3 linked regions of the Macaca fascicularis genome follow. The protein of the gene in region 3 purifies or fractionates together with the protein of the main gene of each other region. This does not show direct contact. Links are inferred from orthologs where the notes say so. Each region holds a gene or a part of one and is shown on either strand. Other genes may lie near its edges.

Region 1 (8,247 bases), on a different chromosome or scaffold from region 3:
TAATTTTAATTCCTTGGTATTCAGTAAATGTGGTCTGTATGATTTACAAGTTTTTGGAATTTAATAATACATTTTCCTTTGTGTTCTAAAACCATGGTCAGGTTTTTATGAATGTTTTTTTCTGTTGGGCACAAAGTTCTGTGTATGCATGAAATCAACTGTTTCGTTGTTTAAATCTGCTGCATCTTGTTAGTTTATGGAAATGTCTCCTTAGGAATGTGAGGAAGCTTACCTTCTGAGATTATCCTTTTAGTTAGCATTTGCAAATGTGTTTGTCCACCCTTTTGTACATTTTCAGCCTCTTGTTTCTGTTTTATGCCCCCTCTGCCCCCCACACACACCTTCCCTATTTTTGGGAGAGTATAGTTTAATTTACTTGCATTTAACATGGTAACTAGTGTATTTGGTTTTGTTCCTAACACTTGCTTTGGAGCTTTTTATTTGCTTCTATGTCCCTGGCACCCCTTCCTTTTTCTTTAAGCCAAACTTGAAGAACTTTTCTAGGTTTTTTTTTTTTTTTTGGGACAGAGTCTCTCTCTGTTGCCCAGGCTGGAGTGCAGTGGCGCAATCTCGACTCACTGCAACCTCCGCCTCCCAGTTTCAAGCAATTCTCCTGCCTCAGCCTCCCGAGTAGCTGGGATTACAGGCGCGTGCCACCATGCCTGGCTAATGTTTGTATTTTTAGTAGAGATGAATTTCACCATGTTGGCCAGGGTGGTCTCAAATTCCTGACCTCAGGTGATCCACCCACCTCAACCTCCCAAAGTGCTGCGATTACAGGCGTGAGCCACTCTGCCCAGCCACCATTAATTTTTTCCTAAGTTTTTAAAAAAACTTCCAAAGTATAAAATACAACTTTCCTTTGCCTTTCAGAACAAGACAAAATCATGAGCATACCTTGACTTATATTTTATTGCAGTGAACTGGGTATTTTTGTTTCTAGATCATTACATATTATCTTTCCTCTTAGTATTCACTTAAAATTTTATATCCATATTAGCAAACATTATTTAGTCTCAGGTATGTTTACACTGCATCATGTTTTCCCTTTGTGAGTACTTTTTGATTCTTAATCAGTTGTTTTCAGAATGTCTTTGCGTATGCCTCAAGTTTTTTCTCTCACGGTTGAACAATGGATGGTTCATTATTTGGCCAGTTCAAAATCATCTTTTCAGAAATAATAGAGATCTTTGCTTCTCTTTGTAGTACACAGTGTTACAGTGGGGAAGATTTTTGATACTAGTTTTCGTCTTATTCTGTAGATACTCTTTCATTCCTTGGGAACGTAATTTTTCTCCGTACTTGCAGTAAAGGAAGTTAAAACTGTCGCTAAACTGTGTTTAGACACCTGAGTGTTTGGTCATCTTTGTTTCTTTTTGGTCTTTTGGCCTTTTGGTCTAAGGATTCAGTTTCCTTAGAGCAGACAAAAATCTCCTAATTTAAGGAAACTTTTCTCCTTTTTCTCTGTTCTTGCTCTTTCAAAGTCCTCTTTATATCTTTAATGTTTCTTTTACTCTCTTCATCTGTTGTTTGTACCAGGTTCTCTGAGATCCTGGTTCAATTTGTTTGCTCATCAGCTGGGACCATTCTGCTCTTGGATCTGCTGGGCCGGGCACATTGGTTCACGCCTATAATCTCAGCACTTTGGGAGACCAAGGCAGGTGGGCGGATCACTTGAGCTTGGGAGTTCGAGACCAGTCTGGCAACATAGTGAGACCCTGTCTCCACAAAAAATACAAAAATGAGCTGGCCATGGTGGTGCATGCCCAACTGCTTGGGAGACTGAGGTGGAAGTATGGCTTGAGCCCAGGAGGCAGAGTTATTTCTTTTTGCTTGTTTAATGGCTATAACAGCCATCCTTCAAAAGTCTTTGGCGGTTGTAATAGTTGTACTATACCTCTAAAATCTTGCTTTCTTTGTTGAGTATAAATTGGCAAGGCAGGCATCGGGGGTGGGAGAAACTTGGCCTTCTGGCTGTGTTTGTTCCCTCGATTATGGTGCCCATAAATTCCTTTGACTGTTACGTTTCTATTTGTCTCTCAAAGTGTTTACTTGGGAAAGTCTCTTAGAACAACCCCCACCTTGAGAGACAGCCCAGAATCATTAGCTGTGATGACCTGGGACTAACTTTTTTTCTGGCCATTCTTGTCTTTCACTGCTTCTCATCTCTAGTTGTTATTTTAGACTTTCATTGCCAAGACATTTTTTCAAAAATTCAAATAGAGGGGCAGACGTGGTGGCTCACACCTATAATCTCAGCACTTTGGGAAGCCCAGGCAGGTGGATGAGTTGAGGTCAGGAGTTCGAGACCAGCATGGCCAACATGTTGAAATTCCACCTCTACTAAAAACACAAAAATTAGCTGGGCATGGTGGCAGGCGCTTGTAGTCCTAGCTACCTGGCAGGCTATGGCTCAAGAATCGCTTGAACGTGGGAGGCAGAGGCTGCAGTTAGCTGAGATCATGCCACTGCACTCCAAACCTGGGCAACGGAGTGAGATTCCATCTCAAAAAAAAAAAAAAAAATCAAATAAAGGTTCTTTTATTCACAAATTGTTAGAGGCTGTAGCTTATTCTTAGCTTTGTAGTGTTTTTTTTTTTTTTTTTTTGAGACAGAGCTTCACGCTCTGGTGCAGGCTGGAGTACAGTGGTGCGATGTTGGGTAACTGCAAGTTTTGCCTCCCGGGTTCAAGCAGTTTTCCTGCCTCGCTTCCCAAGTAGCTGGGATTACAGGCGCCCGCCACCATGCCCAGCTAATTATTTTATATTTCTAGTAGAGATAGGGTTTCACCATGTTGGCCAGGCTGGTCTCGAACTCCTGGCCTCAAATGATCCACGCACCCCAGCCTCCTAAAGTGCTGGGATTATAGGCGTGAGCTACCGCTCCTGGCCAGCTTTTAAATATTTATTTTAGTCTTCCCACCCTATCATCAGATCTCTTAAAATATCTTCCAGAGTTCTCACTTGTCTGATAATGGCTTTAGGTTACATTTGTATGACCAGCCACAATATATCAGAGGATATTTATGATTAAAATTGTGCATGCATCGTCCCCTGCAAAGGCTGTACCAGATTTACTTTTCACAGTTCTTAATGTCATCAGGGTACTTTTTTGTTGTTGTTGTTCGTTTGTTTTGTGTTTTTTTTTTGAGATGGAGTCTCTGTTGCCCAGGCTGGAGTGCAGTGGCGCGATCTTGGCTCACTGCAAGCTCCCCCTCTCGGGTTCATGCCATTCTCCTGCCTCAGCGTCCCGAGTAGCTGGGGCTACAGGCGCCTGCCACCACGCCCGGCTCATTTTTTATATTTTTTTAGTAGAGATGGGGTTTCACCGTATTAGCCAGGATGGTCTCAATCTCCTGACCTTGCGATCCGCCCGCCTTGGCCTCCCAAAGTGCTGGGATTACAGGCGTGAGCCACTGCGCCTGGCCCATGCCCGGCTGATGTTTTGTATTTTTAGTAGAGATAGGGTTTCACCGTGTTAGCCAGGATGGTCTTGATCTCCTTACCTCGTGATCCACCTGCCTCGGCCTCCCAAAGTGCTGGGATTACAGGTGTGAGCCCCTGCATCTGACCCATCAGAGTACTTTGAATAGAGAAGTACTTTTAATTTAACCACCGTCATTAGACATTAAATAAAATGTCTCCACCTTTCTTTGCTTAGTAGGCACTGTGATGTCCATTTCAGGGTACGGGGCTTTTTTCACATTCTTCAAAGGGGATTTCTAGTTGAAGGAAATCTGTAGAGGTGTGTGTTCCCAGGTTGCTTTCCAGCGGTGTTTGTAAGGTCACCCACAATATATGAGACTACTAGTTTCCCTGTAGCATCAGTCTGATCTCAGATTAAAAAATAAATAAAATTTTAAAACTTGCTTATTTAAGGGCTTCATATTGTTATAAGTACAAAAAATATTTGAATGGTAATACCAGTAGTTGTAATAGTAAATAGTTACCAATATAATGCCTCTTTTTCACTTTGTCAATGGAGGACTCTCGTTGGGGAGATAGAGATTCAGAAGGCACCTGGAGAAAAGGACCTGAAGCAGATTCTGAGTGGAGAAGAGGCCCGCCAGAGAAGTAAGTAGAGTTGAGGAAAATAATGCTGCTCCAGTTCCTCAGTTCCTGTTAATATCTTTTTTCTTTTCTTTTCTTTTTGAAACGGAGTCTCGCTCTGTTGCCCAGGCTGGAGTGCAGTGGTACAGTCTCGGCTCACTGCAAGCTGTGCCTCCCGGGTTCACCATTCTCCCGCCTCAGCCTCCTGAATAGCTGGGACTGTAGGTGCCTGCCACCACGCCCAGCTAATTTTTTGTATTTTTAGTAGAGACGGGGTTTCATCATGTTAGCAAGGATGGCCTCGATCTCCTGACCTTGTGATCCGCCTGCCTCGGCCTCCCAGGGTGCTGGGATTACAGGCATGGGCCACCGTGCCCCGCCTCTTGTTAATATTTTATTGGTGATTTTAAAATTTGGTTCATTTTGTAGAGGCAGGGAAAGGAGAGCCATGAAGAATTGTGTGCATGTCTGATTGTGTGTGGGTTTGGTTTTTGTTTTTTTGGGTCTGCTGCCCGGGCTGGGGTGCAGTGGCACGATCTCGGCTCCCTGCATCCTCTGCCTCCTGTGTTCAAGTGCCTCAGCCTCTCGAATAGCTGGGATTACAGGTGTGTGCCACCATACCTGGCTACTTTTTGTATTTTTTAGTAGAGATGGGGTTTTGCCATGTTGCCCAAGCTGGCTTTGACCTCGACCTCAAGTGATCTGCCTGTCTTAGCCTCCCAGATTGCTGGGATTACAGGCTTGAGCCACTGCACTTGGCTTGTTTCTTTCTTTTTTTTTTTGTTGTTGTTGTTTTGAGATGGTGTCTCACTCTGGAGTGCATTGGCGCAATCTCGGCTCACTACAGCCTCAACCTCCCTGGGCTTAGGTGATCGATCCTCCTGCCTCAGCCTCCTGAGTAGCTGGGACCACAGGTGCGCTCCACCATGCCTGGTTAATTTTGTTTGTTTCTTTGTTTTTGAGACAGAATCTTGCTCTGTCACCCAGGCTGGACTGCAGTAGCGGGATCTTGGCTCACTGCCTTTGCCTCCTGGGTTCAAGCAATTCTTGTGCCTCCCAAGTAGCTGGGATTACAGACATGCACCACCACACCTGGCTAATTTTTGCATTTTTAGTAGACCCGAGGTTTCACCATGTTGGCTAGGCTGGTCTTGAACTCCTGACCTCAAGTAATCTGCCTGCCTTGGCCTCCCAAAGTGCTGGGATTATAGATAGGCGTGAGCCACCACGGCTGGTCAGTTTTTATTTTTTTATAGGGATGGGGTTTTGCCATGTTGCCCAGGCTAGTCTCATGCTCCCGGGCTCAAGCAATCCTCCCGCCTTGGCCTTCCAAAGTGCTGGGATTACAGGTGGGAGCGACTGCGCCAAGCCACTTGTCTTACAATTAAGTAGAGATGGGGTTTTGCCATGTTGGCCAGGCTGGTCTTGAACTCCTGACCTCAGGTGATCTGCCTGCCTCTGCCTCCCAAAGTCCTGGGATTAAAGGCGTGAGCCACTGCACCCGGCCCATACTGAAGTTTTAAAAAAGCACGTCAAAAAAAAAAAAAAATCCCCAAAGGATCGTGTGCTTTTTTATTTTATGTATTTTTAATTGTTCTTGTTGCTGTGTAGGGAGTGGAGACGTGGAGAAGGGCGAGATGAGGACAGGTCTCATAGAAGAGATGAAGAGCGGCCCCGGCGTCTGGGGGATGATGAAGATAGAGAGTCCTCTCTTAGACCAGATGATGATCGGGTTCCCCGGCGTGGCATGGATGATGACAGAGGCCCTAGACGTGGTCCTGAGGAAGATCGGTTCTCTCGCCGTGGGGCAGACGATGACCGGCCTTCTTGGCGTAACACAGATGATGACAGGCCTCCCAGACGAATTGCTGATGAAGACAGGGGAAGCTGGCGTCACGCAGATGATGACAGACCACCTAGACGAGGACTGGATGAGGACAGAGGAAGCTGGCGAACAGCAGATGAGGACAGAGGACCAAGACGTGGGATGGATGACGACCGGGGGCCGAGGCGAGGCGGCGCTGATGAAGAGCGATCATCCTGGCGTAATGCTGACGACGACCGGGGTCCCAGGCGAGGGCTGGATGACGACCGGGGTCCCAGGCGAGGGCTGGATGACGACCGGGGTCCCAGGCGAGGGCTGGATGACGACCGGGGTCCCAGGCGAGGGCTGGATGACGACCGGGGTCCCAGGCGAGGCATGGATGATGACCGGGGTCCCAGGCGAGGGTTGGATGATGATCGAGGACCTTGGAGAAATGCCGATGAAGATAGAATTCCCAGGCGTGGTGCAGAGGATGACAGGGGCCCTTGGAGAAACATGGATGATGATCGGCTTTCAAGACGTGCTGATGATGATCGCTTTCCCAGACGGGGTGATGACTCAAGGCCTGGTCCTTGGAGACCATTAGTCAAGCCAGGTAAAAGTCTATTTCCTAGAATATGCTTAAGTGTTCACCTGTCAAAGTGAAGTTCTGATAGATAAATGTCAGGGCTATATTGTTATTTTCCAGATAAACTGGTCTTTTATCTTCAGTATCATTTGCAGTGACTTACCTGTCAAAAGTTTGCCTTCAGAATACTACCATCCAAAACATAAATAACCCAACCCCTCTTTCTTCTTTTGTGATGTGCTCTTTATTTTCCTTCTGCTTCGTTGACTGCTTCTTTCAAGGCTCTTCCTGTACTCATCCCTTCAGTATTGGTGTGTTTTTCAGGTTTTACTGGGAACTAGCCTCCTTTTAAAAATAAATAATTGAAACCAAAATGTACTTTATATATTTATTTCTGCCAAATGAGAGATATGCACGGAGGAACTCACTTTACTTTTTTTGAGACAGGGTCTTGCTCTGTTGCACAGGTTGGTGTGCAGTGGTGCAATCATGGCTCATTGCAACCTTGACCTCCCTGACTCTAGGGAGCCTCCCGCCTCAGCCTTCTGAGTGGCTAGGACTACAGGCGCATGCCACCACACCCTGCTAATATTTTATTTTTTTTGGAGAGACAGGGTTTTGCCATGTTGCCCAGGCTGGTCTCAAACTCCTGGGCTCAATTATCCTTTTGCCTCTCCCTCGCAAAGTGAAGTGCTAGGATTACAGGTGTGAGGCACTGCGCCCAGCCTCGTTTTCTTTCTTAGTCCTGGGCCTGCTTGTTGTTTAACACTTTATTATTTGTGAGCAGTTGTATACATGTCTGTGACACACATCTATTACCATTTTCTTTCTTTCTTTCTTTTTTTTTTTTTTTTGAGATGTCTTCCAGACTGGACTGCAGTTGTGCGATCTCAGCTCACTGCAACCTCTGCCTCCTGGGTTCAAGCAATTCTCCTGCTTCAGCTTCCCAAGTAGCTGGGACTACAGACACATGCCACCATACATGGCTAATTTTTTTTTTTTTTTTTTGAGATGGAGTCTCACTCTGTCACCCAGGCTGGAGTGCAGTGGCGTGATCTCGGCTCACTGCAAGGTCCGCCTCCCAGGTTCATGCTATTTTCCTGCCTCAGCCTCCTGAGTAGCTGGGATTACAGGCACCCGTCACCACGCCTGGCTAATTTTTTGTATTTTTAGTAGAGACGGGGTTTCACCTTGGTAGCCAGGTTGCTCTTGAACTCCTGACCTCAAGTGATCCACCCATCTTGGCCTCCCAAAGTGCTGGGATTACAGCGTGAGCCACTGCCCCGGCCAATTTTCTCTAGGTAATTTCTGCGTACTGCACACAGGTGACAGCTGCTTACTGCATATAGCGCATTTCCACTTGGTAGTCTTACTGAATGTCAAACACAGCCTATCCAAAACTGGACTCATCACCATCACATACAGAGGTTGTAGTGATCTGAGATCACGCCACTGCACTCCCATCCTGGGAGACAGAGTGAGACCCCGCCTCAAAAAAAGAAAAACAAATGCTGTTTAGTGGCCCCAAGCACACGGTGGCTAAGGAGAAAATACATGTATTTAGATAAGCTTTGTTCATGAATGAGTTACAATGCTGTTGACCATGAATTCATGAACACCCATCCCTCTGATTCTCTTCAGGGGCATCACTGTCCATCTAACTGTCTGAGCTACGAATCTGGGAGTTGTTTTGTCTCTTTCATCTTTTGTGTTAAATGTTTGTTTAGTTCAGTTTGGCCTTTTTGATGTTCCTGAAATCCACCTTCTTCTCCATTCCCATTGCTTGTACTTGGTCCTGGCTCAGC
Region 2 (6,940 bases), on a different chromosome or scaffold from region 3:
TACCCAAATGTAACCATCACTTCCTCCACCCATTTCCTGAGTCAAATGGGAAGGCTCTTGGGTGAAGCCTGGCTGGCTGGGCAAGTTTGGTGGCTGTGTTCTGAATAAGCACCATCACCATGGGCTAAGAGACACCTCAGTGGTGGGGGTGCTATTATGGTAGTCAGAGCAGATGGACAGTGGACAGTTTTGTTGTTTGGTTTTTTATGTTTGGTTTTTTTTTGTTTGTTTTTTTTTTGGGAGACAAGAGTCTGTGTCACTCAGGCTGGAGTGTAGTGGCGCTATCTCAGCTTACTGCAAGCTCCGCCTCCCGGGTTTACTCCATTCTCCTGCCCTCAGCCTCCCAAGTAGCTGGGACTACAGGCGTCTGCCACCACGCCCAGCTAATTTTTTTGTATCTTTTAGTAGAGATGGGGTTTCACCATGTTAGCCAGGATGGTCTCGGTCTCCCAACCTCATGATCCACCCGCCTCAGCCTCCCAAAGTGCTGGGATTACAGGTGTGAGCCACCACGCCCAGCCGGACAGTCCTTTTTTCACCTTGGCTTAATGCCTAGAGCTGTTTCATGCCGGGGGCACACACAATTCTAATGCTGGACTTTTTCTGGGTCATGCTGCGACACTCATCTCAACTAGAGTATTGAGGCTCAGCATGTTTTTTAAATGTTCTGTGGCAGGTGCAATGATTATTCTGGGTGTGGATAATGTAAGAAGTTACAGCAGAGCTCCATTCTAAGGCACTTGGCTCTCAGTTTTCTCAGAGTGAACATGGCTCGTAGCTTTTGGTCCTCTGGTAGGAGTACAATAGGACATGGATATGCATCACCTGTTCTATAAAACTGGTTGCTGGCCGGGCGCGGTGGCTCACTTGTGTAATCCCAACACTTTGGGAGGCTGAGGCAGGCAGACCACTTGAGATCAGGAGTTGGAGACCAGCCTGGCCAACATAGTGAAACCCCATCTCTACTAGAAATATAAAAACTAGTTGGGCGTAGTGGCATGTGCCTGTTATCCCAGCTACTTGGGGGAGGCTCAGGCAGGAGAATTTAACCCAGGAGGCGGAGGCTGCAGTGAGCCGAGATTGTGCCATTGCACTCCAGCCTGGGCGATGAGCAAAGCTCTGTTTCAAAAAAAACAAAACAAAACTGGTTGCTGCATGACGAGGCAGTTGGTCAAATTAGCTTTCAGAAAGTTACGGGTTCTAAACATCTAGAGTAAGAAACTGAATTAATTATCTGAGCGGCCTTACTGTGAATCACTGTACACTCAGGAACCAGACTGAGTTGAAATCCTGTCTTTGCCACCTATTGACAGCACGATCTTAAGTGGATTTTAGCCTCTGCCTGTTTCTCAGCTGAATGTGAGTGTAATAATAGTGCATGCCCCAAAGTTGTTGGTTAGGAATAAATACATGAAAAACATTTAAGAATGGTGCCGGCCGGGCGCGGTGGCTCACGCCTGTAATCCCTGCACTTTGGGAGGCCGAGGCGGACGGATCACGAGGTCAGGAGATCGAGACCATCCTGGCTAACACGGTGAAACCCCGTCTCTACTAAAATACAAAAAATTAGCCGGGCGTGGTGGCGGGCGCCTGTAGTCCCAGCTACTCGGGAGGCTGAGGCAGGAGAATGGCGCGAACCTGGGAGGCGGAGCTTGCAGTGAGCCGAGATGGTGCCACTGCACTCCAGCCTGGGCGACAGAGTGAAGACTCCGCCTCAAAAAAAAAAAAAAAAAAAAAAAAAAGGAATGGTGCCTGGCACAGCTGTAGCTAATATGTGAGCACCTATCTTTCTCTGTGCTCAGATACAGAAGGTGGTCATGGCACTAGGAGACTACATGGGTGCCTCCTGTCATGCCTGTATTGGGGGCACCAACGTGCGTGCTGAGGTGCAGAAACTGCAGATGGAAGCCCCCCACATAATCGTGGGGACCCCTGGCCGAGTGTTTGATATGCTTAACCGGAGATACCTGTGTGAGTAATTCTGTTCTCCAACCCCTGGGTCACTTCGCTCTTGTGCATGCTTTCCAGTCTTTCAGTGTAAGCCAAAGTCATTCCCACAGATGCTGGTTTCCCTCTGGGGAAGAGCTGCTCTGTGATGGAGCCCATGCGTGTCATCTGAGCCTCTGGCTTCCCTGCCAGTGCAGCCCAGGCAGTGTCCTACTTCCCAGGGCTGTTTTCTGGCTTGGCGGGAACGTCCTGGGCAAAGGATCAGTCTTTGTACTCTGAGAGCAGACTACTCGGCCCCTCTCTGTTTTTTATCAACAAAGTTGGATACATCTCTCCTACATTTCCCTGATTATATGCTATATATTGGCTTTTTTTTCCTTCTCTAGCTCCCAAATACATCAAGATGTTTGTACTGGACGAAGCTGACGAAATGTTAAGCCGTGGATTCAAGGACCAGATCTATGACATATTCCAAAAGCTCAACAGCAACACCCAGGTGAGGGCGGCCTTGCTTGAATCGTTAATGATTCTGGAAGAAAAATATTAAGTGCCAGGGGAACCAAACTCTGGATTCTTGTCCTGAGCCTTTTTATGCATCCACTTCAGTTTTAGGTGTGGCTAGGGAAGGGAGCAGACCTTGGGAAGGATCCACTGCTCTAAGGCTGGCCTTTTTTTCCACTAGGTAGTTTTGCTGTCAGCTACAATGCCTTCTGATGTGCTTGAGGTGACCAAGAAGTTCATGAGGGACCCCATTCGGATTCTTGTCAAGAAGGAAGAGTTGACCCTGGAGGGTATCCGCCAATTCTACATCAACGTGGAACGAGAGGTGGGGCCCAGTGCAGGAGGCGGGCCTGGTAGTGAGTTGTTGGGTATAGCCCCTGACTGATTTTTGTCCCCTCACCTGCAGGAGTGGAAGCTGGACACACTATGTGACTTGTATGAAACGCTGACCATCACCCAGGCAGTCATCTTCATCAACACCCGGAGGAAGGTGGACTGGCTCACCGAGAAGATGCATGCTCGAGATTTCACTGTCTCTGCCATGGTGTGTTTGCCTGCTGCCAGCCCCTTGTGGGTCTGCCGATCAGAAGTGTCCTACTTTGAAGCCAGGGTTCCCGGAACCTATGTGCCTACCTGGTTTGTTTTCTCTTCTAGCATGGAGATATGGACCAAAAGGAACGAGACGTGATCATGAGGGAGTTTCGTTCTGGCTCTAGCAGAGTTTTGATTACCACTGACCTGCTGGTGAGTAGAGGGAATTGACAGGAAAGGCAGAAGGGAGGATCCAAGGTGATTCCTGATCCAAGGTGATTCCCTCTCCAAGGGGACATCCAGTGCCCCTCTCAGGAAAGTAGCAGCTTGGAATAGAATCTGGCATGCCTAAGGCCTTTGGGGAACAGGGATGCTTATTTCCTCCGCCTTCCTTGGCTGCCTACATGGATGCCTAAGTGTCTCTTCGGGATAGTGTTCTCTCATGCACATGCTGAAGAGTTGTCTTTCTTGATGTAGGCCAGAGGCATTGATGTGCAGCAGGTTTCTTTAGTCATCAACTATGACCTTCCCACCAACAGGGAAAACTATATCCACAGGTAAGAGTAGATCTGGAACACTCTTCCACCCCCTCACGCCTGGCCCTCCCTGGGCTAAAGTTCCTGATGTTCCTCATCCCTTTCCTTGTTTTCCAGAATCGGTCGAGGTGGACGGTTTGGCCGTAAAGGTGTGGCTATTAACATGGTGACAGAAGAAGACAAGAGGACTCTTCGAGACATCGAGACCTTCTATAACACCTCCATTGAGGAAATGCCCCTCAATGTTGCCGACCTCATCTGAGGGGTTGTCCTGCCACCCAGCCCCAGCCAGGGCTCAATCTTGGGGGGCTGAGGAGCAGCAGGAGGGGGGAGGGAAGGGAGCCAAGGGATGGACATCTTGTCATTTTTTTTCTTTGAATAAATGTCACTTTTTGAGGCAAAAAAAGAAGGAACCGTGAACATTTTAGACACCCTTTTCTTTGGGGTAGGCTCTTGCCCCAGGCGCCGGCTCTTCTCCCAAAAAAACACTAATCCATTTCCCTAACCTAGTAACCTCCAGATCCCAGAGGCTCTCCTCACCTCAGCTGAGCTCCTTTGAAAGTGATTCAGGGGACTACGTCACTCAGCCTCATTTGCTGGACCAAATCTGGAGGGAGAACCCCTAAAACCCCTGAGTGAGGTTGCCCAGGGGGTTGTCCCCAGGTGGGGGGAAGCAGGGGAGAGAAAATGGTAGCCATTTTTACATTGTTTTGTATAGTATTTATTGATTCAGGAAACAAACACAAAATTCTGAATAAAATGACTTGGAAACTGCCTGTTTGGGCTTCTCATTTCTTAACTCCCCTTCCCTCTCCCACCTGCTACTGGGTGCATCTCTGCTCCCCCCTTCGCCAGCAGATAGTTACCTTTGGGCTGTGTTGCTTTCTTGTCACCATCTAAGAGTTCCCAGACACTGGAAAGCCATGTTCTCGGCTCTGAGAACGGTGATGCTGACTGGTAGTGCTGCCCCTCTGTAAAAGGCTGGGTGTGGATGATCACAAGCCCCTCACGTGCCTCAGCCAAGAGGAAGTACAGGGGTCAGCCCCGAGGTCCAGGGGAAAGGGGAGTGGAGACACTGATTTCCCTACCACTGAGGGAGGGGCCTGGGTCTCAGCTGTTCCCATAGCCACCTGCCACAACTGCCAAGCAAGTTTTGCTGAGTTTCACACATGGATCCCTATGGATCAACTGCCCTAGGACTCCCTTTCATGTACCCATGTGACCCTGTTGACTTTGCCCTGATGAAGCAGGGGCCAACAGTGCCCTACCTTAATTACAAAAACTAATGACTAAGAGAGAGATGGCTAGAGCTGAGGCCCCTGAGTCAGGCTGTGGGTGGGATCATCTCCAGTACAGGAAGTGAGACTTTCATTTCCTCCTTTCCAAGAGAGGGCTGAGGGAGTAGAGCTGAGCAACTGGTGCAGACAGCCTCGCTGGACTCGGGGTGAGGTAGTTCAGCCATGAGGCTGGCTGTGCTTTTCTTGGGGGCCCTGCTGGGGCTACTCGCAGGTAAGGAGGAGGCTGAGGGGAAGGGGCCCCTGGGAGGGAGCCTGCCCCTGGGTGGCTAACCATCTCCTCTCTGCCAAAAGCCCAGGGGACAGGGAATGACTGTCCTCACAAAAAATCGGCCACTCTGCTGCCATCCTTCACGGTGACACCCACGGCTACGGAGAGCACTGGAACAACCAGCCACAGGACTACCAAGAGCCACAAAACCACCACTCACAGGACAACCACCACAGGCACCACCAGCCACAGACCCACAACTGCCACGCACAACCCCACCACCACCAGCCACAGAAACGCCACGGTTCATCCAACAAGCAACAGCACTGCCACCAGCCAGGGACCCTCAACTGCCACTCACAGGCCTGCCACCACTAGTCATGGAAATGCCACAGTTCATCCAACAAGCAACAGCACTGCCACCAGCCCAGGACTCACCAGTTCTGCCCACCCAGGACCACCTCCGCCCTCTCCGAGTCCTAGCCCGGCCTCCAAGGAGACCATTGGAGACTACATGTGGACCAATGGTTCCCAGCCCTGTGTCCACCTCCAAGCCCAGATTCAGATTCGAGTCATGTACACAACCCAGGGTGGAGGAGAGGTAAAGCTAAAAATGGGTACGAGAGGGGAGGGAGGCAGGACTGGCTATAGGCTCAGAGGGAAGAAGGAAGACAGGACGGGGAATATTGGCTGGCATCGCATGCAATCTTGTGACCTTCTGATCTTTAACTTCCGCAGGCCTGGGGCATCTCTGTACTGAACCCCAACAAAACCAAGGTCCAGGGGAGCTGTGAGGGTGCCCATCCCCACCTGCTTCTCTCATTCCCCTATGGACACCTCAGCTTTGGATTCATGCAGGTATAGCCATGACCTCAGTCTCACCCCTCACTCAGCCTCCCGGCGCCCCACCCCTCCCAATCCTGCACCCTACCCCTTCCTCTGTGAAGAGGGATGCCACCTGCTTTCCTGTTTGCCCCACAGGACCTCCAGCAGAGGGTTGTCTACCTGAGCTACATGGCGGTGGAGTACAATGTGTCTTTCCCCCACGCAGCACGTAAGTAACCTCCCTCCCTTTCTCATTGCTACCACTAGACACCAGGGTTCCTGAAAGGACTAAGCTGGGGCCAGGGAGGTGGACAGGATCTAACCCTTCCTCACTCCTCCAGAGTGGACATTCTCGGCTCAGAATGCATCCCTTCGAGATCTCCAAGCACCCCTGGGCCAGAGCTTCAGTTGCAGCAACTCGAGCATCATTCTTTCACCAGCTGTCCACCTCGACCTGCTCTCCCTGAGGCTCCAGGCTGCTCAGCTGCCCCACACAGGGGTCTTTGGGCAAAGTAAGACCTACCTACTCCTTCCCTCCTAGAATCCTCCCACTACACTGAAAACCCCTTCCCCAGGCCCATAAGCCACTCATCTCTCTTCTTAACCCCCCAAATCTCCTCCCTCTCCCAGCTTGTCATGGCTATAGGGCAGCTGTCCTCCCATCCTCTACAAGATTCTGCCAGTTTCCCCCTTTGGTCACTGCTGAGTCACTGCAGTGAGCTCCTCACCAATCTCCTACTCCCTAGCATCCCCCCATTCCCTCCTCCCACCTTCATCCCAACCACCATGTCACTGTAATACCTACCTGCCCTATCCTTCCGCCAGGTTTCTCCTGCCCCAGTGACCGGTCCATCTTGCTGCCTCTCATCATCGGCCTGGTTCTTCTTGGCCTCCTTGCCCTGGTGCTTATTGCCTTCTGCATCGTCCGGAGACGCCCATCCGCCTACCAGGCCCTCTGAGCATTTGCTTCAAACCCCAGGGCACTGAGGGGGTTGGGGTGTGGTGGGGGGGGGGTCCCTTATTTCCTTGACATGCAACTGTCTCAAAGACAAAGTTATTTTCCTTCCCTTTCTTGAAGAACTAAAATAGAGCCA
Region 3 (8,763 bases):
ACAGAGTACCTACCACAAAGTAGGCACTCACATGCTTTTGAGTATCAATGGCAGTACTTCTTAGATATATTTTCTGCACCATGAGTATGTGCATAATTTTACCTGTAGAAAAGGCTAAGGAAGGCTGGGCGCGGTGGCTCATGCCTGTAATCTCAGCACTTTGGGAGGCTGCAGTGGGTGGATCACCCGAGGTCAGGAGTTCGAGACCAGCCTGACCAACATGGTGAAACCCCATCTCTACTAAAAATACAAAAATTAGCCGGGCATGGTGGTGGGCGCCTGTAATCCCAGCTACTCGGTAGGCTGAGGCAGGAGAATCGCTTGAAGCCAGGTGGCGGAGGATGCAGTGGACCTGGGCACTAAGAGCGAAACTCCATCTCAAAAAAGAAAAAAAAAAGGCTAAGGAAGTCCATTCCCCAGCAAAGTGAAGAGTGCCTCCTTTGTGCAATGCATGCCTGCCATAGAAGAGTTTTCCTTGTCTAAGAAACATGCAGTTGCCAAGCCAAAATCATCTGTTGCCAAGCCAAAATCATCTGCTTTCAAGCTCTTTGGTTAGTATTTGCTTTTTGTTCATTGACTTGCTACCTTTCAGCATTTTCTAGAAGAAAAGGGTTGGCAGAGCCTGATGATCTAAGGGAAGCTGCAGAGGAAACTAGAAATTGGAAGGATAATTTGGTCGGGAGGTGAAACCAAGTTTTCCTTTGTGGAACTGTTCCACCAGCCACACACTAAAATGTGTCATCTGGCCACCTGGCTGGGTGTGGTGGCTCACGCCTGAAATCCCAGCACTTTGGGAGGCTGAAGTGGGAGGGTCACTTGAGCCCAGGAGTTCAAGACCAATCCAGGAACCATAGTGAGACTCCATCTCTGTTTAAAAAATTTGCTAGCCGGGCGCGGTGGCTCAAGCCTGTAATCCCAGCACTTTGGGAGGCCAAGATGGGTGGACCACGAGGTCAGGAGATCGAGACCATCCTGGCTAACACGGTGAAACTCCGTCTCTACTAAAAAAATACAAAAAACTAGCCAGGTGAGGTGGCGGGCGCCTGTAGTCCCAGCTACTCGGGAGGCTGAGGCAGGAGAATGGCGTGAACCTGGGAGGCGGAGCTTGCAGTGAGCTGAGATCCGGCCACTGCACTCCAGCCTGGGTGACAGAGCCAGACTCCTTCTCAAAAAAAAAAAAAAAAAGCAAAAAATTTGCTGGCCAGGCGCGGTGGCTCAAGCCTGTAATCCCAGCACTTTGGGAGGCCGAGGCGGGCGGATCACAAGGTCAGAAGATCAAGACCATCCTGGCTAACATGGGAAACTCCGTCTCTACTACAAATACAAAAAATTAGCTGGGGGTGGCGGCAGGCGCCTGTAGTCCCAGCAACTCAGGAGACTGAGGCAGGAGAATGGCATAAACCCGGGAGGCGGAGCTTGCAGTGAGCTGAGATCACGCTACTGCACTCCAGCCTGGGCGACAGAGCAAGACTCCATCTCAAAAAAAAAAAAAATTGTCATCCCTTATTGTACAGATGCGGAAACTGAGGCAGAGGCATTAAGTGACCTGCCCAAAGTTACACCGCTGACAGCACGATGAGGAGTCGTCAAACCTGGTACTAGGCATGGGAAGACTGCTTCTTTTTCGCTCTTTTGAACACCGTTAGGACGAGATGGGTGTGTGGTTCATGCCTGTAGTCCCAGCACTTTGGGAAGCTGAGGCAGGAGGACTGCTTGAGGCCAGGAGTTTGAGACCAGCCTGGGCAACATAGTGAGATGTTACCCACAAATAAAGAAATTAACTGGACGTGGTGGCACATACCTTCAGTCCCAAGTACTTGGGAATGTACTTAATGCCTCTGAACTGTATACTAAACTGCATATTAAAATGGCTAGGCCCTGTGGCGTGGTTCACACTTGTAATCCTGGCTCTTTGGGAGGCTGAGGTGGGAGGATTCTCTTGAGGCTGGGAGATCCGGATTGCAGTGGAGCTGTGATTATGCCACTGCACTCTAACCTGGGCGATAGAGTGAGATCCTGTCTCTGAAAACAAACAACTATATGATGAAATATACATACAAGTTACCTTTTTAGTATTTTATTTTTTCGAGACAGGGTCTCACTATGTTGCCCTGACTGGTCTTGAACTCCTAGGCTCAAGCGATCCTCCTGCCTTGGCCTCCCAAAGTACTGGGAAGACAGGTGTGAGCCACCGCGCGGGGTGTGGCCATTTTAATATGAAGTTTAGTATACAGCTCAGTGGCATCAGGTACATTCACCATGTTGTGCAACCATCACCACCGTCATCTCCAAAACGTTCTCATCCTCCCAAACTGAAGGTCCGTTCCCGATAAACACTCCCCACTCTCCTCCCCAGCCTCTGGGTACCACTTGTTTTACTTATTTATTTACTTATTTATTTATTTTTGGTATACATGAGGGTTGGCGGGGGTGGGGGTGCTATGTTGGCAAGGCTGGTCTCGAAATCCTTAGCTCAAGCGATCCCCCCCGCCTCAGCCTCCCAAAGTTTTGGGATAACTGGCGTGATCCACTGGGTTATTTTCTAGTGGTTGTCCTCCACTCCGGCAAAAAACAAAGAGAAGACACAAGCACCCAATACCCGTCCCGTGAACAGCAGCCCAGAGCCAACCGCTCCGGAGAGGCTCGCGCCCCACGCGGCGAGAACCCGCCCCCGCCCGCACGTGACCCGCGGTCTCCCGCGCGGAGGGCGGTGGCCTCGCGTGGACCGAAACACTGTGAACGCCCGAATGGGGGGAAACAGGCGGTGACGGCCGCTAGGGAAGGACTGGGGGTAAGCGATTAAAGCAACTCGCATACATTTTTGCATTGCGCCAGGGAGTCGTCTTTCTAGTCGTGCGGGCCGCCTCTGGCTCGCCCCGAATCCCTGTTCTCCTTTTTGGAGTAGTCTGTCCTTTTGCGCAGTCAGTAGGCGAGTCCAAGTGTCAGACACCGACAGGGGGGTCTTTAGTAACGTAAGCTAAACAGTTTGCCTAGCGAAAGGCTGAGACGCCCTGAGCAATCGCCTGTCGAGCCTCCACTCTTCCATGATAATAACTGTTGAGTTAGAGGACATTTTCAACCCATTCTGGATACTAAAATCATTTCTGGTCCCCGCCTCGGGCGCCACAAATAGTTCAGCCCCGCCTCGCAGCGTCCGACGGGAGAGGAAAGGGGAGGCCGCCATGTTGGACAGAACCATCCGCTGCCATACATGGGGTGGCCAATGCGCCCATGAATTTAGTGATGGACGGAAACAACCTTGTTGAATGGAATTGAGCACTTTCTTGTCACAAGAATGTCAGTTTGGTGATTTGCTGGACGCGGCTTGCGGATGCGAGTCCTCTCAGGGTCGTCGTGAGGCTCCAGGGCGTGGGTACACCCCCCGCCCCGCGGCCTTGGTACGGCCTCCCCGTCGCACGCACATGGCTGAGCTGTAGCCGGCGCGGCGCGCGGTGCGGCCTGGGAGAGTCGGAAGCGCGGCGGCCGCGGAGCCCTGCGAGTAGGTAGTGTCGGGCCCATGCAGGACGCAGAGAACGTGGCGGTGCCCGAGGCGGCCGAAGAGCGTGCCGAGCCCGGCCAGCAGCAACCGGCCGCCGAGCCGCCGCCAGACGAGGGGCTGCTGCGGCCCGCGGGGCCCGGCGCTCCGGAGGCGGCAGGGACAGAGGCCTCTAGTGAGGAGGTGGCGGTCGCGGAGGCCGGGCCGGAGCCGGAGGTGAGGACCGAGCCGGCCGCCGAGGCAGAGGCGGCCTCCGGCCCGTCCGAGTCGCTCTCGCCTCCGGCAGCCGAGGAACCTCCTGGGTCGCACGCTGAGCCCCCTGTCCCGGCACAGGGCGAGGCCCCGGGAGAGCGGGCTCGGGACGAGTGCGCCGACAGCCGGGCCCAGGCGGCGTCCGAGGACGCGGGAGGAAACGAGGGCAGCGCGGCCGAGGCCGAGCCCCGGGCGCTGGAGAACGGCGACGCGGACGAGCCCTCCTTCAGCGACCCCGAGGACTTCGTGGACGACGTGAGCGAGGAAGGTGAGGGCGCCCGGGGCAGGGCTGGCGAGCGGCGCGGGAGCGTGACTGGGGTTCCGGAGGTGGGAGATGTCGTCGGGCTGTGCCACTGGTTCGTGCAGAAGTTCCAGCGAGGGTGTCCGTGTGTTCCTGGAAAGCCACCGAGGGAGGGGTTCCCGAGTGCCCTAGAAACGTTCTGAGACCCCAGCGCCTCCCCTTTTCTTTCCTAAAAAAGGGGACAGGATGGAGCTAACTTCGTGAGCCAGGGATTTGCATGACAACCAGAAATCTGAGAGGGTGGGAGAGGGCACAGGGGTACTCTGTTCTGGCTGGGTGTGCTGTGAGTGTAGCAGCTGGGGTTACAGCAAAAACCGAAGACCCGGTGTCAGGTTTGCGGGTCTGCGTGTCCCAGCTGACCAGTCAGACCTCCCGAGGTCTGGATCGGAGGAACAGGTTGTCGCAGAGCCGGTGATTTTGTCCTCCTGCCCCGCACAATTGTCCATCTCCAGGAGACTTCCCTAGTGGTACAGGCAGACCCTGTCAAATTCCAGTTTGGTTCTCCTTTATCCCCTCTGCTAAACCTGTAAGACGAGTTATTTTTCCAGGTTTTAATATTGTTGATAACAGCCTGCTTTGCCTTCGTCTCAACCTTGATTGGATTTACAGGCATATTTCTGCTTCCGCCTCAGAGAGCTCTTTTCCTAAAGTGACTTCTGATGAGAGCTGGTCTCATTTGTTTTTCTTTTGTTTTTAGCTCTCTTAAGCCTTTAAGTTGAGAAACACATCAGCCTCTGCGGATTGGCTAAGTTAATACTGGAGTGAGAAAAATAAAAATACCCTTGCTGACGCAGCCAGATATACACCAAGACAATTTAGGGAATAACGTGGAGTTGCCAACTTATAATTGAAACGTATTTTTAAAAGGCTATCAGAAATACAAAAATCAGCCAGGTGTGGTGGTGCACACCTGTAGTCTCCGGTACTTGGGAGGCTGAGGCACGAGAATAGCCTGAACCCAGGAGTGGAGGTTGCAGTGAGCCAAGATCCCACTGCTGCACTCCAGCCTGGGTGACAGAGTGAGACCCTGTCTCAAAAAGTGAAAAATTAAAAAATAAAAAGGCTGTCAGTTACTGTGGCCATTATTATATTACACTTTTTTTTTTCATAGAAGACATTTTAGCAAGAAAAGCAGGAAGAACACCACAAACTAATGAAGACTTTGGGAACATCTAGTCTGCGCCCCTCAGTCCTGAGGAAATGTGTCCCTGAAGGTGGAGTAGGCTGCTGAGAATTCGCAGTGGGTTCGCTCTGCGTGGCTCACCAGACTCTCCTGCTCAGAACAGTGTTCTTTCTTTTTTTTTTTTTGAGACGGAGTCTCGCCCTGTCTCCCAGGAGTCTCACCCTGTCTCCTAGGCTGGAGTGCAGTGGCGCGATCTCGGCTCACTGCAAGCTCCGCCTCCTGGGTTCACGCCATTCTCCTGCCTCAGCCTCCCCAGTAGCTGGGACTACAGGCACCCGCCACCGCGCCCGGCTAATTTTTTGTGTTTTTAGTAGAGACGGGGTTTCACCGTGGTCTCGATCTCCTGACTTTGTGATCGGCCCACCTCGTCCTCCCAAAGTGCTGGGATTACAGGCGTGAGCCACCGCGCCCGGCAGAACAGTGTTCTTTCTAACACTTCAGTAGTTGTTATAGTTTAAAATCAAAATTTTTGGTTTAATGATTATTTTGAGCCCTTGGAAATTCTGCTATTTTTTTAAAAGTATTATTTGAGCCCATCGAATTCAGATTTCTAATGTGTAAATTATTTCTGGAATTGGGAAGAGTTAGTGGATGCTAATATGACCACAAGGTTGGCCAGGCTGGGTGATGACTGTGGGTCCTCAGGGGTCCCACGTGGCCCTGAAGGTGCAGTGTTGGCCAGAGTGACAGGTGAGGCATCTGGTCCTGAGGACTAAGGCTCAGCAAGCAGGCTTTGTCCTGGCCTGCCTGGTTGTGGTAACGCAGGTGGGTTGTGTGCGTTATGACAAGAGCTGCCCTTCAGGGTCAGTGTGCAAGATAGTATATGAGTGTGTCAGTTCTTTCCAAAAGGGCCGAGTCTTCCAGATAGTATATGAGTGTATCAGTTCTTTCCAAAAGGGCCGAGTCTTCCAGATAGTATAGTGTATCAGTTCTTTCCAAAAGGGCCGAGTCTTCCAGATAGTATATGAGTGTATCAGTTCTTTCCAAAAGGGCCGAGTCTTCCAAGGAGCAGACCAAAGGTGGCCTGGAGTCCCTGTCTTGCCTTCTTATTTTTTGGGTGCAGATTAGCATCTCAAACTGTAATCATCCTTTCAGTTTAATGTTTCAGCTGATCAGGATTTTAACTCTAAATGTCTTTTTTGCATTATTAACTATTCTTTTTGTTTGCTATTTAGTGTTGAGGATTGTTCTCTTCTTTTTTTTCCTGGAGACAGGTTGGGAATCTGTGAGCCACGTGTCACCGATGCTTGGGCCGAGAGTGATGAAGGCGATGTGTCTTCATGGTGTAGTTACTTCATTTGTTTCCTTCCTAGGTGTGGGCTGGTTCTCCTAGACTAGACGCTTTGAGCTTGTGGGAAGGAGTACGCAGTTTGTGTAAAAGCTAAGCTTTTTATTGCAAGCCTTATAAATTCAGATCAGGCTTGTCAGGCCATTTAATTGTATGGTAAGTGCTTTAGAAGGTATCCTGGGATTTGACTAGTTTCCACAGCAGGGTGTCCGGCACTGCAGTGACTGGCAACTGCCTTTTTCCCTTTTTTTTTTTTTTTTTTTTTTTTTTTTTTAACATCTCGTTCCTCTCAATTTTAGCATCTTTGAAAATAAAATGGAGATTATTTTTTAGGGTAGTATTTTCAATATTTCCTTTTTTTTTTTTTTTTGAGATGGAGTCTCACTCTGTTGCCCTGGCTGGGGTACAGTGGCTCACCGCAGCCTCTGCCTCCCCAGTTCAAGCGATTTTCCTGCGTCAACCTCCTGAACAGCTAGGATTATAGGCACCCATCACCACTCCTGGCTAATTTTTGTATTTTTAGTAGGGACGGGGTTTCACCATGTTGGCCAGGCTGGTCTCGAACTCCTGGCCTCAAGTGATTTGCCTTCCTCAGCTTCCCAAAGTGCTGGGATTAGAGGCGTGAGCCACCATGCCTGGTAAATTTTCAATATTTCTGAAAGGTTTTTTTTTTGTGTTTTTTTTTTTGAGACGGAGTCTTGCTCTGTCACCCAGGCTGGAGTGAGCCACCATGCCCGGCCAACTTTTGAGAATAAATAAAGCGAAGAATATTTTCTGACATCTGCATATTTAGTATGTTGAAATTACTATTATTTTGGCCGGGCGCGGTGGCTCAAGCCTGTAATCCCAGCACTTTGGGAGGCCGAGACGGGCGGATCACGAGGTCAGGAGATCGAGACCATCCTGGCTAACACGGTGAAACCCCGTCTCTACTAAAAAATACAAAAAACTAGCCGGGCGAGGTGGCGGGTGCCTGTAGTCCCAGCTACTCGGGAGGCTGAGGCAGGAGAATGGCGGGAACCCGGGAGGCGGAGCTTGCAGTGAGCTGAGATCCGGCCACTGCACTCCAGCCTGGGCGGCAGAGCAAGACTCCGTCTCAAAAAAAAAAAAAAAAAAAAAAAAAAAAAAAAAAAGAAATTACTATTATTTTTAGAGATGGAATCTCACTCTGTTGCCCAGGCTGGAGTGCGGTGGTGCAATCTTGGCTCACTGCAGCCTCCATCTCCTGAGTTCAAGCAATTCTCCTGCCTCAGCCTCTCAACTAGCTGGAATTACAGGCGCCCACCACCATGCTTGGATCTTTTTTTTTTGTTTTTTTTTTTGAGACGGAGTCTCACTCTGTCGCCCAGGCTGGAGTGCAGTGGCCGGATCTCAGCTCACTGCAAGCTCCGCCTCCCGGGTTTACGCCATTCTCCTGCCTCAGCCTCCCGAGTAGCTGGGACTACAGGCGCCGCCACCTCGCCCGCCTAGTTTTTTTTTGTGTTTTTTTAGTAGAGACAGAGTTTCACCGTGTTAGCCAGGATGGTCTCCATCTCCTGACCTCGTGATCCACCCGTCTCGGCCTCCCAAAGTGCTGGGATTACAGGCTTGAGCCACCACGCCCGGCCTTTTTTTTGTATTTTTATTAGGGACAGGGTTTCACCATGTTGGCCAGGCCGGTCTTGAACTCCTGGCCTCAGTAATCTGCCTGCCTTGGCCTCCCAAAATGCTGGGATTACAGGTGTGAGCCACTGAGCTTGGCCCTGTCCTGAATTCTGACTATGTGATGCTTTCCAAAAGCCCTGCGAGGCATTTCATCACATTGAGGACAGCTTCACGTACCACTAAGAAAAAAATACTGTTACTTAAACTCTGTGGGCATGGCAGCTCCCACCTGTAGTCCCTCCTACTTGGGAGGCTGAGGCAGGAGGGTTGCTAGAGCCCAGGAGTTCAAGGCTAGCCTGGGGAGCATAACAAGACCCTGTCTCTTAAAAAAAAAAAAAAAAAAAAAAAAAAAAGCTGTTTCAGGAACTTGTATATTCTCCAGTCTCCTAGTTTAAGTGCAGGTCTCTGCCCTGATAGTGTTTTTCTAAAAGGCTCTTTGTGATATAATAAGAAATGTGTATTTGGGCTCTGCCCTGGTTCTTGGCACACAACGTCTAAACACTTGGAATCTCCAAAGTGATAAGTGTCTTTTTGTAGACAAGTGAGATGATTGATGACTGGGGCTCCTTGCCAGGGAACCAACCACGTGATTAGAGGGC

Evidence for each region. Proteins that work in one complex are often made in the same cells at the same time.
Region 1: the proteins of EIF3B (region 3) and EIF3A purify together in Homo sapiens (co-immunoprecipitation; 15 studies listed by BioGRID and IntAct, with this or other methods). This does not show direct contact. The link is inferred for Macaca fascicularis from reciprocal best matches to the Homo sapiens genes EIF3B and EIF3A.
Region 2: the proteins of EIF3B (region 3) and EIF4A1 purify together in Homo sapiens (affinity purification with mass spectrometry; 4 studies listed by BioGRID and IntAct, counting the BioPlex papers as one, with this or other methods). This does not show direct contact. The link is inferred for Macaca fascicularis from reciprocal best matches to the Homo sapiens genes EIF3B and EIF4A1.

What each region holds. Positions count from the first base shown.
Region 1 is NC_088383.1:128,047,392-128,055,638, reverse strand, and holds part of EIF3A (eukaryotic translation initiation factor 3 subunit A), read left to right. Parts: intron 1-3,984; coding exon 3,985-4,073; intron 4,074-5,660; coding exon 5,661-6,469; intron 6,470-8,247. UniProt on the Homo sapiens protein: RNA-binding component of the eukaryotic translation initiation factor 3 (eIF-3) complex, which is required for several steps in the initiation of protein synthesis.
Region 2 is NC_088390.1:7,624,317-7,631,256, forward strand, and holds the end of EIF4A1 (eukaryotic initiation factor 4A-I), read left to right. Parts: intron 1-1,802; coding exon 1,803-1,971; intron 1,972-2,087; exon of another isoform or gene 2,088-2,230; intron 2,231-2,333; coding exon 2,334-2,443; intron 2,444-2,629; coding exon 2,630-2,773; intron 2,774-2,854; coding exon 2,855-2,992; intron 2,993-3,102; coding exon 3,103-3,192; intron 3,193-3,247; exon of another isoform or gene 3,248-3,387; intron 3,388-3,456; coding exon 3,457-3,536; intron 3,537-3,632; coding exon 3,633-3,777; 3' UTR 3,778-4,291; downstream 4,292-6,940. Other genes in the region: CD68 (macrosialin), read left to right, coding at 4,976-5,024, 5,105-5,622, 5,760-5,879, 6,003-6,075, 6,188-6,358, 6,672-6,805. UniProt on the Homo sapiens protein: ATP-dependent RNA helicase which is a subunit of the eIF4F complex involved in cap recognition and is required for mRNA binding to ribosome.
Region 3 is NC_088377.1:35,837,544-35,846,306, forward strand, and holds the start of EIF3B (eukaryotic translation initiation factor 3 subunit B), read left to right. Parts: upstream 1-3,449; 5' UTR 3,450-3,517; coding exon 3,518-4,016; intron 4,017-8,763.